2 linked regions of the Struthio camelus genome follow. The protein of the gene in region 1 interacts with the protein of each later gene in a pairwise test. Links are inferred from orthologs where the notes say so. Each region holds a gene or a part of one and is shown on either strand. Other genes may lie near its edges.

What was found.
Region 2: the proteins of NT5C2 (region 1) and MOB3B interact in binary tests that used the Homo sapiens proteins (3 or more experiments, as listed by UniProt). The two-hybrid records come from large-scale screens. The link is inferred for Struthio camelus from reciprocal best matches to the Homo sapiens genes NT5C2 and MOB3B.

Annotation. Positions count from the first base shown.
Region 1 is NC_090948.1:15,242,952-15,250,703, forward strand, and holds the start of NT5C2 (cytosolic purine 5'-nucleotidase), read left to right. Parts: upstream 1-4,739; 5' UTR 4,740-4,754; coding exon 4,755-4,809; intron 4,810-7,752. UniProt on the Homo sapiens protein: Broad specificity cytosolic 5'-nucleotidase that catalyzes the dephosphorylation of 6-hydroxypurine nucleoside 5'-monophosphates.
Region 2 is NC_090982.1:4,881,220-4,888,701, reverse strand, and holds the start of MOB3B (MOB kinase activator 3B), read right to left. Parts: upstream 3,009-7,482; 5' UTR 2,865-3,008; intron 2,481-2,864; exon of another isoform or gene 2,416-2,480; intron 1-2,415. UniProt on the Homo sapiens protein: Modulates LATS1 expression in the Hippo signaling pathway which plays a pivotal role in organ size control and tumor suppression by restricting proliferation and promoting apoptosis.

The DNA of each region.
Region 1 (7,752 bases):
AGCAACACAGCGGTCTGCGTTGGGACCCACACGTATGGCGTCAAGGTGATCTTCATCAGGCCCAACATCAGACAGAAAAACAAAGAAAATCAGTCCCACAGCTAGGAAGTGCACACTGCTGAAACCTGGTGGCTTGTAGGAGGGATTAAATTACCCAGGGCCGTTGCAGACCTCCCAACTGCTTCCAAAACCAGGTCTTGGCTGTGAAGCAGCAGGAGGACGCTTTAAGTCTTTGTGATCCGCTTTGCACAGCAGCCACCTGCTGACGGGGCTTGTTAAACAATTTATCTCACCAGCTGCGTTCTGCCCGGGCTTGCGATTAAAAGGAAAACGCTGTCCTTTCCGCTGTGCACACACTGCAAATGGGATGCGCGCATCTCGCACGGTTTCCAGCACAGTCCATTAAACTGATGCTGCAGGTAGACGTTTCCCCACCTGGCTTCACCGCAGCAGTCACGCGAGAGGGGAGCGGAGGGGTGAAGGCAGATCCCAAGCGTCTCCGGCGCGGCTGCTGCCCGATTTCCCACAGCACAGCAGGTCTGACCCCCTTCCAGAGGGACAGGGTGGGCGAGGCGGGGAGAGAAGATTTTTGGACCCAGGACTCATGGCAGCACATCAGCAAAATCAGAGCAAAACTCAGCAAAATCAGAGAAGTGCCTAACACACATGCAACAAAGAAGAAGGCATTTGCAGAAAGCTGGGAATGGAGCACGGAGCGATTTCCGCTCCGGTTTGGACACGGCCACGCCAACGGGAGCAGAGGGCGGCCCGGACGAGCCCGTTTGGGAACGGGCGCCGGCGGCGGTCCCCGGCTCACCTCGCCTTCGGCTCCTGTTACACGTGGATGCTCGGCCGCATGCTGCCCGGCCTGGCGATGCTTCGCCTCGCCGTCGCCACCAGCGCAGCCCCCGAAAATCAGTATTTAATCACAGCATTTCAGTTAAACGTTTGGCTCCTTCAGCAAGCACGGCGTGCAGCAGCGCTGAAGCTGGCTAACACAGGCCTGTGGGCTCAGGCCGGCCGGGTTTGCAGGGCCTGGGGTGCAGCCGCGGAAATTTTGGCCAGAGAAACGCTGCAGCCGGAGCGGGGGGGGGAGGTCTGTGCGCCTCCGCCGAGGGACGGCACTTTGCCCCCGCTCCCTGGCCGCGGCCCCTCTGCGGCTCCGCGCCGGGCTCGCACACTCTCCCCGGTCCCTGCCGCCGGCGGGGCGGGAGGGAGGGAGGGAGAGGGAGCGCGCGCGCCCGCGTGCGCGCGCGAGTGTGTGTGAAAGGGGCGGGGCGCGCGGCGCGCCTGCGCAGTGCGGCCGCTTCGGCGCTGCGGCAGTGGTGCGGGGTGCTTCTTCCGAGCGCCGCAGGAGGAGGTGAGAGCGGCCCGGGCGCGCGGGGGCAGCGCGCGCGCGGGCAGCGCGCGCGCGTGCGTGCGGCTGCGCGTGCGCCGGGCGCGCGGAGGGGACCGTTGGGGCGGGAGGGGACCGTTGGGGGGGGGGCGCGCGCGCGCAGGGGAGCCCCCCCCCCCGCTCCCCTCAGACACACGCGCCCCGAGGAGGGCAGCGCAGCGCAGCCGGGTCTCCCCGTCGGCGCGGCCGGGCTGAGCGCGACGGGAGCCTCCCCGGCGGAGGTAGCCGGGGTTCCCGGGGCGCTTCCCCTTCTGCCGGCCGGCGAGGGCAGCTCCTGGGACGCAGCGCCCGCCCGCTCCGCTGCCTCTTCCCCTACCCCCCCCCCCCAGCCCCCCCCTCCCCTCCCCGGACTCCCGCCTCGCGCAGGGCGACCCCCGCTTCCCTCAGCCCGTCCCTGGCCGGGCCGGTGCCCATCAGGGCCCCCGAGCGGCCCCCATCCCGTCGCCAGGCAGGGACCGGCTCCTGGGGCAGGTGGCTTGCGCCGCGGAGCTGCGCCCCGAGCGGCCCCCTCCCCGCTGCGCCGTGGCTGTGCGTCTGCTGCCCCAGCCCCTGCTCTCCCCCCACCCCGCTCCGCTTTTTGGGTCGCAACGAGCGGACAGGAATGATCGCTCGGGATAGTGCTGCTGAGGTTTGGGGCAAGCACCCAGCGCGTTCATTTCCTGTCTCCGTCCCACGTGGACTGGAAAGGTCTCAGCGAAAGGCTTCAAGCTCTTAGCTTCCCCCTGGGGTAGCTGTAAGCCCTGCTGGAGGTGGAGAGGGGCGATCCTGGTCGCTGAGTAAAGTGTTATCCTGGCTGTGTGCAAACCCCTTCCCGGACGGCCTCGCATCAGGACTAGCGTTCATTGTCACTGCTCTGTTTCATTTGAGTGGCTCTTGGCAGTGGGTCTATATCAGGCTTGAACTGATAACCTAAAGGCAGGAGGTAGTCAGCGGAAAAAAAAAAAAACAACCCACAAAACTGCTTTGCTCTCATTTTGCTTAAGTTTTTTTTTTTTTTTAATCCTTCCTTTGTGCCAAATATAATGTTGCAAAATGTACACCGGAAACTATCCAGCACTGGTTTCTGATAGACTAGATGGCTTAATGCAGAAGTACTGTTTCTTGTAGTGCAGGCTCTTTTAAAAATTCCTGGAACCGCTGAGATTATGAAACCCTCAAGTTTATTCCAGTGCTAGTGTTTCTAAGGGCTGCCAAACTGGATACTGAGGATCCTCTTAGACCTCTTCATTCTGGTCTTCAGAATGTTCTTCCCAAGGCCTAATTATTTACTTTTAAAAATATTTTTGTTTAGCTTTGGAAGGTTTACCATTTGAATCTCAAAGGTTGCAGCATGCTATTCTAAGTTACTTACGTAAAAATGTCTCCTTCTTACCAATCCAAACAGTCCTCTGTGTCAGTTCAAAACAGTGTTCTGTCACCAACTAAAAAATATATTTTACCAATCCATACACCTGTTAGCTTTGGAAACTAGTGCATAAACAGTGATTGGTGACTAAATCCAAAGGAGGAAAATTTGCAGGTCCAGATTTACATTAGGCTTCTCAGGTGCTATGTGGTTTAATTGAAAAACAAACAGAATTCGAAACTACAGTTTAAGTTTCGGTTCAGGTGCTGAGTTTGTAGTGCCAGCAAACCATAATGTTTTACTTGAAAACTAATCAACTTAGCTTTGAAAGTCTGTCACAATCTTTGTGAGCCTGTGTCAACTTAATAATCATATTTTAGGGTAGGACAGCTGTTTAAAATAATCCATTGTCATTAGTCCTGAGTTAAAAAGATCGTTCGGGAACTTGCTAGTTTGATGAACAGCAGTTGGAGTTTGTTCAAGCATAGACGTAGTTTCATTATATAGTACAATACAACCTTTACTCTCTATAGCATCATTCAGACAAATTGTATTGCAAAATGCGCCACTGAATTAAGTGCTCCATAGAATTAAATACAATTGCAGAGATAAATGGGGAGAAAAACTGTAAGAATGGGAGAAATGTTTTCAGCTGAGGTTTGAAATTAAAAGCCTGTTGGTATGTTTACTTGGTAGCGTTACTGTTATACACTGTTTCTGGGATATATGGTAGCAAAAGTCAGATGCAGGCTGACATCGCAGGCTGAATTTCCAGCTTATAGGCAGTTTTTAATAATTAAAAAAATTGTCATTTTTTTAATCATTACTCATTTTCATGTTTGATTCCTAATATAGCTTTAAAGGAAAGTTAATAAGCCCTTCCTACAACCACTAGCAGTATTTATCCTAGCCTTTTTTAACTTCAAGGGGAACATTTGTTTTTAAGTAAACAGAAACCTTAGTTTCGTGTTTACTGTTAAACACTGCAGTATTTTACTCTTGGGGAAAACACTGAAAGGAATGTTCTATTTCCTTTCAAAATTTATAACTATATTGTTTTTTGCAGCTATCTCAAGGAAAAGGAGCGGGTTATTAAAATATGAGTTTTAACTGATGCTTATTGAAAAAGCAGATAGATTTATATGTTCACATCATACCCATTATGTGCAGTTCAGCAGCTTCTTAATAAAATAATGCTTCTGTTAAAAGCTGATGTATGGGTTGTTAGTTTGCGGTATGAACTGTTATATGGAGATGGGATGGCTCGGGGCTGGTTGCAGAGTAGGCTTGCAGTGCTCTAGCTGATCTGCAACCTTTGAATCCTACGTAAATTGTAGATACCAGATCGCAAGGAGGTGCAGGAAGGGCAGACTGTTTGCAGTTCTGCCCTGGAAATCCTTGTGCAAGAAACAGAGGTGGGGTCACGCGGTCAGGCTCAACGAACCCGCTGGTTTGTACAAATTTGGAATTAGGGAGTGCTGTGGGACCTGGGTAACCCAGCACGATGCAACTTGCCATTGCCAAAATCCTACAGAGTTTTGTAATGACCCAAAGTAATGTCACCATGTAGAAGCTGCTTGGCCTGTGGAGGGTGGATTAATCATCTCCGTGTAGGTTGCTGCGGAAACTTTGTGACAGGAACAAGTTCGCTCTTTGGCAAGTTTATGCCTTGTCTTCACTTCTTTAAAAAAATAACATGGAGTAACTAATCACCTCAGGCTAAGAAATACTCATAAGCCACCCAGCGTAAGCCCGTGGAGATGGCAAGGCACTTTGGCTTTACCCCAAGGGAAACTGAGGTCAGTCCTATGCTTCGCTGGAGAACAGCCTCAATGATGTACCTTGGGATGAGTTTACAGTGCCTGCTGTATGCTGTCCCTTCCTTGGGGTGGCTTACGAACAGTGGGTGTCCTGACAGAAAGCAGCTGTGACTTTTTTAGCAGTGAGAATAATAGGAGAGAAAACTGAACAGAATGTGGCCAGGAATGGAAGCCTTGTCTCTCTCTTTGGGATATGTCGATGATGAGATGCGTTACTAAGTCAGCGCATGGGAATTTCTTCACTTATGGTCTGTACTGCATCTTCTTCACTTATTGTCTGTACTGCATCTACTTTTAAAATTTTATTGGTAGTGTCAACAGTGCAAATATCATTTGAAATGATATTTCAGGTGGCTATAGTCTAGTCTTTCAAAGTTGACTACTCTGTGCTTAAGCTTATCTAATTCTTTGAATATCTCCAAAATGCACACTCATGTAAATATTTCTTACTGTCAACTGTCTGTTTTATGCTACTAAAGAAATTATTATTATGTATCGTGGTTATGATGCATGTAGCAATGATTTTTATTTTGCTTTTTAATCATGATGACTCTTTAACTGGAATGATTCCTAAAACCTTGGACTGTGTACTCTACATGGAGAACATGTATAACATGAGTCTGCTTTCCTAACACAACCACAGAGAGAATCCAGCATGTACAGTAAATAGAACTCAACGTACAGTAAACAGACCTTAAGCAACATCTGGAAAAAATTGCATGGGTATTTAAGGTAGCCACTGTAAGCAACCGATAATCTAAACCTGGCTACATAAGGGTAGTCTTTAAGTCCCATGCATGTGTTTGAAGGGCTAAAAAGGTGCTTGGGAGATCTGGCCCAGTGAAGCTAACTTAGGGGAAACACATTTTTAACACATTTGGAGGTCAGGAAGGGAGCCTGAGTAATTCAGTCTAAAAAAAGCACAATAGTCTGTTTCAAATCTTGCTGCCACCTCGATGTGGAATAGAATGTGTACCTTGCTATAAGGTCCAAAGCAGGTTTGCTCTTACTTTCCCGACAGTCAGGTCCTCATATACAGGAGTAGTGAATGGCTGGCTGTGGGCCAACTCACTCAGTCCTCTCATTTTTTCAAGTTTGGTACAGAATGGTGGAGACTAAACTTGTTACTTGCTGGTGACCTTAGCTTATTATCCTCTAGGCATGAATACCCGCTGCAGGATTTACCAGCACAGCCAGCCCTTTTTGGGTAGTTTTGTTAGAGATCAAGGGCTGAGTAAGCAGGGGAGGTTGAAAACCCCTCTGTGATTATTTGTATGCTACTTTCTATTTACATGTAAGCAAAGAAAACAAGTGGATTCTTAGCCTGTGCATCTTATCAGCTAAAACTGCTTTAAGTTCTGCAAAGGTGTAATTCATTACATGTGGAGAGCAAGAGCTGCAGTAATGAAATACCTGTAGGACTAATGCTGGGAGGTGAGCAACTTGTTGGTTTCTCTTTTGAAATTAAAAGATGCGTGGGCGCAAACTCTGTAGGGGGATGAAGGGGAGGTCCAAGGAGATGTGATTCTTTTTAGTTTTGAACGTTAGAACCAAGGTGAAGTAAGTTAGCGGGAGCAGAGGTATGGGAGCAACAAACGCTAACACTGCCTGTGTTTTTTACCCATCCTGTAAATAAGAAGACAGTTTCAATTTCCAGAAGTATCATTCTGGCCTCTTTTTCACCACTAAAGGTTTATTTAAAAAAAAAAAAAAAAAGTTCCTTAAAGTCGCTGTGCAGTCCAAACTTAGCTAAGTTAGCTATAGCGTGTTCGCAGCTCCCAGTTGTGTTCCAAATATTTTTCCAACAAAAACTTACTATTTTACACATATGCTTACTACAAGATTCTCATTTAACCTTGCTTGGCACAATTGGTTCAGAGGAAAGGAGAAAGCAGAGACTTCCTGTAGGGGTTTCTGAAGAAGGCTCTGAAATAGAGTGGGTTTTCACTGTTTACCCAGGACAGGCCTTTGGATTAACTGGCTTTGACCCAGGCCTTGTAGTTCTCCGTGCTAACATCTGCGTAACGCATAAAACGCTTAAGATACGTTATTTCTAGATTTTCAGGAAGCAAATTCTAGCTGAACCCTCCATGAGGGTACACTTCCAAAAAATACTTTCCAACCGAGGTGGTCCAGCTTTGGCAGTTGCAGTGGCCCCATCTGGGTTGTGGGACAGTCCTTCTGGGTGGGTTGCCCCTTCCTTGTGTGTGAGCTGCTGCCTTTCCCCTGGCAGCAGTTGCTGCCCGCGCTGCTGTAGTAGTAACAGCTGCATCCCAGCTGTATATATTAGGTTTTGGGAGGAAGCGTTTGTCTGTTTAGGCAATGTTTGCTGCTAAATTCGTATTTGTTATCTCCTTTGGAGAAAGGTTGACATGGGTGGGAATCAACTCATATGTTACTACCTGGACCGCGCTCCTCATGGCGTTTGTATCAAAGGTAGTGTGTTTGGCCATAGCTCATTACAAGAGAAACTTTCTAATCGGCTTCTAAAAATATCTAGAATGGAAGGTAAATACAAAACAGGGTAGGCCCATGGTATGTCATAAAGCATATCAAAATCTAGACCAGCTGAATTCAGCTGGTGTTTGGGTTGGTTCAGTTGGTGATGAGTTGCACACAGGCGTGCACAGCAAATAATAAGGAGCACGAGGTCGGAGGGGAGCATGTGAATACTCTGCCCACAGAAACCCTAAGAAGTACTGAGTGAGATTTATGCCAGTATTTTGTAGTCATAACACAGCAATTAGCAATAATAACATCTAAGGGTAAGTGCTAGTAAACTGCAGGCTTCTTAGGTAATTTTGGAAGTCACTGAATGGAACCAATTTGTTTTCCTAATTTATGGTGTGCCAATTAAAAATAAATAACTAATCCTTTTACAGGTCCATTTCCTTTGTTTTTCCTGTCTCCCTCTGAGAGGACCTTTTATTTTTTAATTTTTTCTTTTTTTTAAGGAAGAGCTGTATCTGTTGTCAAAGGTGTTTCAAATTTTACTTTCTAATTTTTCCAACTCATCTTTTTGGATATTACAAAGCAATTCAGTTTCAAGTCTATGCAAAGATGAACATGTCCTTTGAAATGACAGGAAAGGGCTGCAAGATTTGATCCTAAATGTCCTCATTTAAGTCATGTCCTTTCTGTCATCCTATGTGCTACTCACTGAGAACTTTTAAGGATAGATACGCTTGATC
Region 2 (7,482 bases), on another chromosome or scaffold:
CCAGAACACAATTACATTCCTCTGACATCCTGCATGATGCTGAGTACTTTGCTAGTACTCGATAAGAAAACATCTTTTGCTAGAGAAATATTGGCAAAGGAGCTGAAGTAGTCTGGTACAGTCCCAAGCTATCACCTCCTACTGTGTTCTAAGCAGTACTGACTACTGCACCGTTATTCTGGTTAACAGCCATTAAATCATGATTCCAATGCATCTGATGCCCAGCAACATCATATTGTTCTGCACCTATCCCCATTTACTCTTCAGCACTTTCTGGGACTCAGTATGACTCGACCGTACCCTGTATACCTTGTGCTCTTTTCTCTATCCTATCCCCTCCTTTGGGAGGTAGCACAGAGATGTGTCCAGAGATGGACAGTTCTGTACCCTAAAAGAAGAGCTTCCTCCCCTGTTGTGCTAAGAACGCTCTTTTTTCTCCTCTACAGAGTGGAGGTGCAAAACTGTCACAAATGTTGGTCAACTCAAAAGGGTCTGCAGATCTTAAAATAAGGTGCTTTGTTGTGGTGGGAGAAGAGGAACCAGCTCCCCATCACAGCAGAGCATCTGCACGATAAAACTCACTGATCTGAGAAGAATCCTGCCCAGAAAGTTTCCTCCCATTCCTCCCTCTACAAGGAGTTACAGTATCCTTCATTAAACATAAATTCTACCTGTGTGTAAAGGCCCAAAGAAGTGGTCTGGGAAAATATAAACAATCCTGCAACGAGCAATCATTGCAATTTGAGCAGGGGCAGGAAGAATCCTCATCCACCCTTTATCACCCTGATAATCATGGGATAAGGGACCTGTTCTTGCTGTGACTGTGCTCAGGACACACCTCAGCATCATTCAAAACATTCTGTTCAGGAGAGCTGCCCAGACCTGAGAAACAGACTGATATGACCACCATATGTTGGAGCAAGAAGGCATTTACATCTTCAAATGCCAGCTGGGAGTCCTGCCAGAAAAAAAAAAAAGAGAAATGGCCTGCAGGGTCAGGAGCCCTGCCAGCTAGGACTCTTCCACATTCGCATTGCAGCTATCCTCTTTTAAAAAAGTCAGCAGTGGACACCTGTAGGGTCTGCTGGTCCTTGCACCAGCAAGCCTTTCCCTTGCACTAGCTCTGGCATGAGCACCACCTTGATACTATTAAAAACAGGAAAACGCATGGATATTAAAACATAAACAATTATCAGGAATAACAGCATCACTGTTAAAGGGGGAGTGATGAAAATAATTTTAACTTTTAACTTTAGATTAATCTGCTGGTTAGGACTGGGAAAGAAATAATCAAGTGAATTGATGCCTATACAGCTTGCTTAGCTTAAAAGCTCTGGTCTGGAAGAGAGTGCTGAACCCTACTCTTATGCAAATATCTGATTAGGGAAGTTCTTCCTCTCTAGTCCAGCAACTGCCTCTTTTCAAGTAAAACTGAGGAGTGAACTGTTCTAGTATCAGGCCCTAAAACACAGGGTCAAGACTCAGCAACTACTCATTTCTCTGTAACCAATCCTGGGTCAGCCTCTGAGACTTCAGCTGCCAGGTTGTTGCAGCATGAGGATGCAAAGACTTGGAAATATTTCAAATTCTGTGTTCCATTAGTGAGCAGAAAAGTTTAATATAAATTATGTCTCAGGAAACAGGCTTCTTTGCAAACTAAAAGCAAAATCTAGCACACTGAAGCCTGTCTCTCCCCATGACTAAAAGAACTGGCAGGTCAGCTGCACGGCAGATTGTCTGAGGCACTAACTTCAGCCCTAACCTTATAAGCACTTCCGTGCAATAGCCATCTTTTAATGAGCTGTGCCTCAGGGTTGCCTGGCCAGATGACAAACAGGTCACAAACTCCCAGGCTGCGGTGCTGAGGCTTCCTTCCCTTTGGTCACTGCGGGTGGAAAAGGACCAGCAACAGGGCTCTGGATCACACCTCACTCTTTCAGAGCAAGGTGCAGAAAGGCAGCAGAACAGGCCTGCTTGGGAGGGGGACGCCAAACCGGGGGCAAACGGAAGGGGGAGGTGGGGAAGGGGGGAGGAAGAAAAAGACAACTTAGTCCCGGATCTGACTATTATCTGCCTTCTCCTGTCTCCCTTTAACCTGCTGGTGCCCTTCCCCACCTGCTGCCCCACAGCGAGAGCCCCCTGCACCCTGCACAGGGCTGACAGGGCGGCATCCAAGGCTCGACCCCGCCGGCTTCCAGGCATCCACCGTGCAGCAGCAGGTCCGCAGAGCCAGCAGCTCCCTTAATAAGGCCAAGCAACTCCCCCTTCCCCCCGAGGAAACTCTGGAGGAAAACACGGAGTGACCTAAGTTGTGCAGTAGAGGGTGAGGGTGGAGGGGGTGGGGGGGAATTAAAAAAGAAAAAAAAGACAAAAAAAAAAAAAGATAAAAAAGAAAAGGCCCCTAGGAAAACGCACCTTTCCACAGGCTGTCTGTCCCAGGTGGCTGCGGCAGGCGCGCAGCGCCAGCGAGCGGGCGGGCAGCCGGCCGCAGACAGCCCCCCCGGCGCTGCCGGCCGCGGCCGGGCCGGCCCCGCCGCCTGCCGAGGACCGGGCCGGCGGCCTCCCCGCACGGCCGGCGGCAACCAAGCTCGCCCGCGGCGGGCAGCGGCCCGGCGGCGGGGAGCGGGGGCGGCGCCTCCACAGGTGCCCCACGCCGCCCCGCCCCGCGCAGGCGGTGGCATATCCGTTTGGGCCGAGCAGGAGCGGAGCGGGGCCCGGGAGAGCGCCGCTGTCCCGGCGGCAAGTTTTGTGCTGCGCCAGGTGGCGAAGGGGAGAGGCGGCGCGACGGCGGCGACGCGCCCACCTCCCCTCCCCTCCACGGGCCGACCGGCCCCCGCCCCGCCGCCGCCGCCCCGCCGCCTTACCTGCCGCCCGCCTCGCCGGGCAGCCAGAACAAGCCACAGCGAAACGCGGTCGCCGCCCGGCGCAAGGAACTCGCGGCGGCGGCGCGGAGCAGCTGCCAAGCCCCGCGCCCGGCCCGGCCCGGCTCTGCCTCGCCCGCCGCCGCCGCCCCACGGCCTCGGCGCCACCCGCGGAGCCGCCGCGGCCGAGCCCGCCCCCTGGCGGGCGCCGGGCAGCGGCCGAAATGGCGGCGGGCGGGGAGCGGGCGGGAGCGCGGCGCCGGGCGGCTCAGGGCCTCGGCCGCAGGCCTTCGGGCTGCGGCCGCCCCGCGCCCCGAGGCGCCCGGGGACAAGAGGTCGGGCATAAACCCCACGCGGCTGGTTGGTCCCACAGCGGGTGACCAAGGCGCCTGGGCGGGGGGAGGTCGCGCCGGCACACGGTACCCGGCAGCCAGGAGGCAACGCGGCGGGTGCGCGTGTAGGTGTGAGGGCCGGTGGCGCGAGGCTGTACGCTTGGGACGCTTGTGTCTGGCGGGGTTGGGTTGGGAGCCCGTGCGGCACCGTGTGGCCCAAGCGGGCCGCGCGTGCCGATTTTCCCTCAGCTTTGGGCATGCAGCAGCCTGCTGGGTTAGAGCAGTTCACTCCGAATGTCTTTTGTTCGTTCTCAGCAGAAGAAAACTCTCTTGGACAACACCTTTTCTTGAAGGCTTTAAAACAAAGTACGTTAAACTTTTCTTCCTTCTCGTCCAGAGGACACGTAGGCATGACAAAGTGAAACAAAATTTTTGTTTCTGAATTTCACAAATTCTGCCGGTCACACACCCTCATCTCCAAAACATCAAGCAGTGCTGTTGGGCTGTCAGGACTGAAGAGGGAGAGTCTAACGTTTGCAGTCCTTAGCAAAGCTGAGTGAAAAACCTATCTCAGTTTAGACAATGAATATAGAACTTTGGTCAGTTATCAGACTTACAAAAATCTCGGACCCCAGAACCTTCTTACAGGGCTCTTTATAAACAACATTTTTTGGATTAGTTTGCACTCCAGAGTAGTTATCATTTTACCCACGCCAGTATAGACTGAAGGCCAGTCTCCTTCCTCAAGGTACTAGGTTACAATAAACAATTGTGTTCACATTGTTTTTTTATATGAGATAAAGGGATTTGGGGTTTATTTTTTCCCTAGGCTGTCTGACATACAGCATTCATATAGCTAAATCCACTTTTGCAGTTACATGGATTTCATTGTCTTGGTAGGAAAAAAAAAAAAAAAAACAACCAACACATTCTCCCAGCTGAATATGTACAGCTTTGCTTCTCCTGCCGACAAAGACTTCAGGGTTTTATTCCTTACATCTGCCCATTTTTTTTCAATGGAAAATACTAGATGGGATTGGCAAAAAGAAGGGGGAAAACAGAGGCACGTACAGCAGAGATCTGTTTCGGTGCCACGTAACTTAATTTAAAACGGTTGCATGTCAAACTTAAAATGGGAAAATGTTAAACCCTACAGAAATGTTTGCTGAGTTTTAGAAATCCTGACAAGAAATTCACCAAGATTGGATGAACAAACCCCAAATCCCCCTATTTTCAAGCAGCGGAAACTCACTAGGGACTGTACAGTTTTTATGAAGAGGCCAGAAAAAAGAATCTGCAAAACTGGAAGTTTTGTTTATCCATGAGAACAGAAACATGTGCTTGTGCAACAGGGCAGGCCATGCTCCAGAAGAATCATTGCTAAGAAGGGGTGGGAAGAGAGCAACCCACCCCACAGATTTGCATGAGATGGTAACAAATCAACAACATTTGTTAAGACTAGTGTTGCATCCTTCCCAGCCTTGAATGACAAAGGAAAACAGCTTCTCTCTTCTTCTTCTCCTTGTACCTTTTCCTCTTCCTTTTCCTCCTCATCTGTAGCTTGGCAAAAGGGCCCAAGTCCTGCTTCTGGCCCTCCATTGGTGGGTGATGCTCCCTTACGGCAGAGGCAAAGCAGAATCTGAATTCAACAGACCTAAGGGAAAGGCTGAATCTGTGGCCTCTTAAGTTAGAGCTGGGCTTAGGAACTAGATGCTACCAAACCAGAAGAAAACATTTGAATGGGGAACCGGGAAGCTACCAGCAGTTTATGACTGAGGGGAGGTACCACGTTGCTGCGGATTATCTGTTCTTTCCAAGGTCATGCTAATAAAGATATTGGAAGCAACCCTTATGCCTTCACAAACACAGCAAGAATAGCCTGAGTGAGAAGTGACCCTTTTTCAAGTTATCCAAGTTTTAGCATAGCAGCCATCAGGTGTTGCTCATAGACCTATCTGAACAAGTAATAATAGGAATACCTTCATAAGATGCGTAAGCAGGTTTCAATCACTAGTAGAACCACTTTTTAGTCCCTGATCAGTTCCCTGCATTCAGCCAGAGATTCAGTCTTTCTTCTTCCCAAGCTTCAGCCTGGTTTGATGTCGGCATTACTTTCTCTATCAATCATCCCATGTCCCTGTGTGGGAATTTGAACACAGTAGAATAAGTTTACAGCAAGTAAAGACCCCTAAAAAGGACCAGGAAAAGAAAGAGGAACTGCTGCACTCAAAAATTATTTTTCTAAAGAGAGATAATTATTTCCTAAGGTATTGGGAAAGACCCATATTAAACATAATATTGGGACAATCCCAGGTCAGAACTCAGCAACTTTGACTCATCTAAAAGACACAGTAAAATAATCTTCAGGCACGTTTTCTGTTAAAAAAAACAGAACTACTTACACAAACTGTAGCCTTCCCCTTGTGCTGATATCCCAAACAGTTTAAAATTTGCATCCTTCTAAACCCTGTGCTGAGTGATATGCTAGAAATGGAGGTTAGGTTGGCAAGATCAGTTTTACTATATACATTCAAGCAGGATAAACAGTGTCTTCGAGCACAGCATCCTCTCTTCTGTGCTCCAGAATTCTGAAAGCATATCCTGTGAGCCTTATCTACAAACTGCCAGCTTTACCTAAAAAGAATTTGGTTTTGGTGACAAACTAGAGCCCAGAAAGGATATAATTCAGTTACAGTTCTTCTCCTGAACTTCAACCTATAACCACTTTGTTCTTTGCTAATCATCACAAATTACTAGAGCTGTTAGCGTACTCCAGCAAGGATGAAAGGTGAAAGGGACAAAAAAAGCGCTCCAAGGGAGAGCTGACCTTCCAAATGGGAAGTGTGTGTGCACTTTCCTTCTATTCAGCTATAGGGTATACTGGAACACGGCCTGACGGCCAGATTTACTACTGCTCTCCAAGGAAATTGTCCCTTTCACCCCTGGGAGAGAAGCCAGAGACCAGGTTTGTGAACCCAATTAATCCATTTACTTCAGCAGAATTTAACCGGGAATTGATTTAGTCGTGTATGCCATATTATTGTTGGCACATACAGCAAAGATGCTGGAGTCAAGGGTCTTTCCTCTCTCTACTACATACCCAAGTAATAAATGAACAGGACTTAAAATTAATTTTTGTCACTACAAGCAAAGTGGAATGCAGTTTAATTCAACCTCAAATTGCTGACGTCTGCTGTTTAGCTTCCAGTGCTGAGAATCCAGAACGAAGAAAGACACAGATGGGGCAGATCACAGTAGTGCTGTGATAATTCTTTTCCAGGTTAACTTCTGACTTCTTTTTTCCTCATTTTCTACCTAAGGGACATATCTGTTGAAGAAGGAGTGCTTAATCTGTAAAGAAAGAACTCCCTGAGAAGGACTGATGTTCTTCCAGATTCTACTCCTGTCAAAAACAGAAGACTTCTGTCTCTCACATAGCAGTGAAGTTGCCCCACAACAAAAGGTCAGTTGTACCTAACAGTTAGGATGGATAACAGTGGACTTACAAGCACTTTTTTTCTTCCTGCCTCACTATGATAGGAGATGATCATGGATATTTGACAAGATTCAGTCAGATTAGATATGACTGGTATCTCTTGACCAAACGATGAATTCTCTTCTACGTGCAAACACAAAAACTGTCCTACGACATTGTGAAATGTGAGAAGGGTGAGATCTCTGACAGATCTCCATGGTGGGCCTTTCAACAGATGATCACATTGTAAGGCCCAAAGTCAGCAGAAGTGTTCCCATAACTCCAGTAGGCTTTGGAACAGCTCCAGCCATGGCTTTCTTCATTGGTGTACTTTGCAGTAAAAGAAAGAAACAGAGCAGTTTCTATGGATATATAAAAATATTGAGAGAGTGAAACTCATGTGTGGGTAAAGCCTAGTCAGAGATTAGCAAAAATGAAACTTGTTTACATCTAATAATAGAGCTTAGTTCAACTCACACTGTGTGAGGTGAAAGGGCATTTTTGTTACAATTTCAACCTGGGTATTGTGTACAGTATTTTCAAGTTTATTTACGTTCCATTAATCGTGATTACTGTCAGCAGCCGGCCAATAAGTACGTGCAGTCAGTGCAACATCCTAAGCCAACCTACAGACCTGTTGGTAATCGGAAGAAAGAACGAAGCATTGCAGTTCCCAGTTTGATTTCACACGTACGAAACTGGAAAGCCACATTAACACCACCCAGATAGCTATTTAAAAATCATGCACAAGCATGCCTAGGGCCTAGCTGTGTTAAAGTAGCTAGTGTAGGCAAAGGAGAAAAGGGCAGTGCTC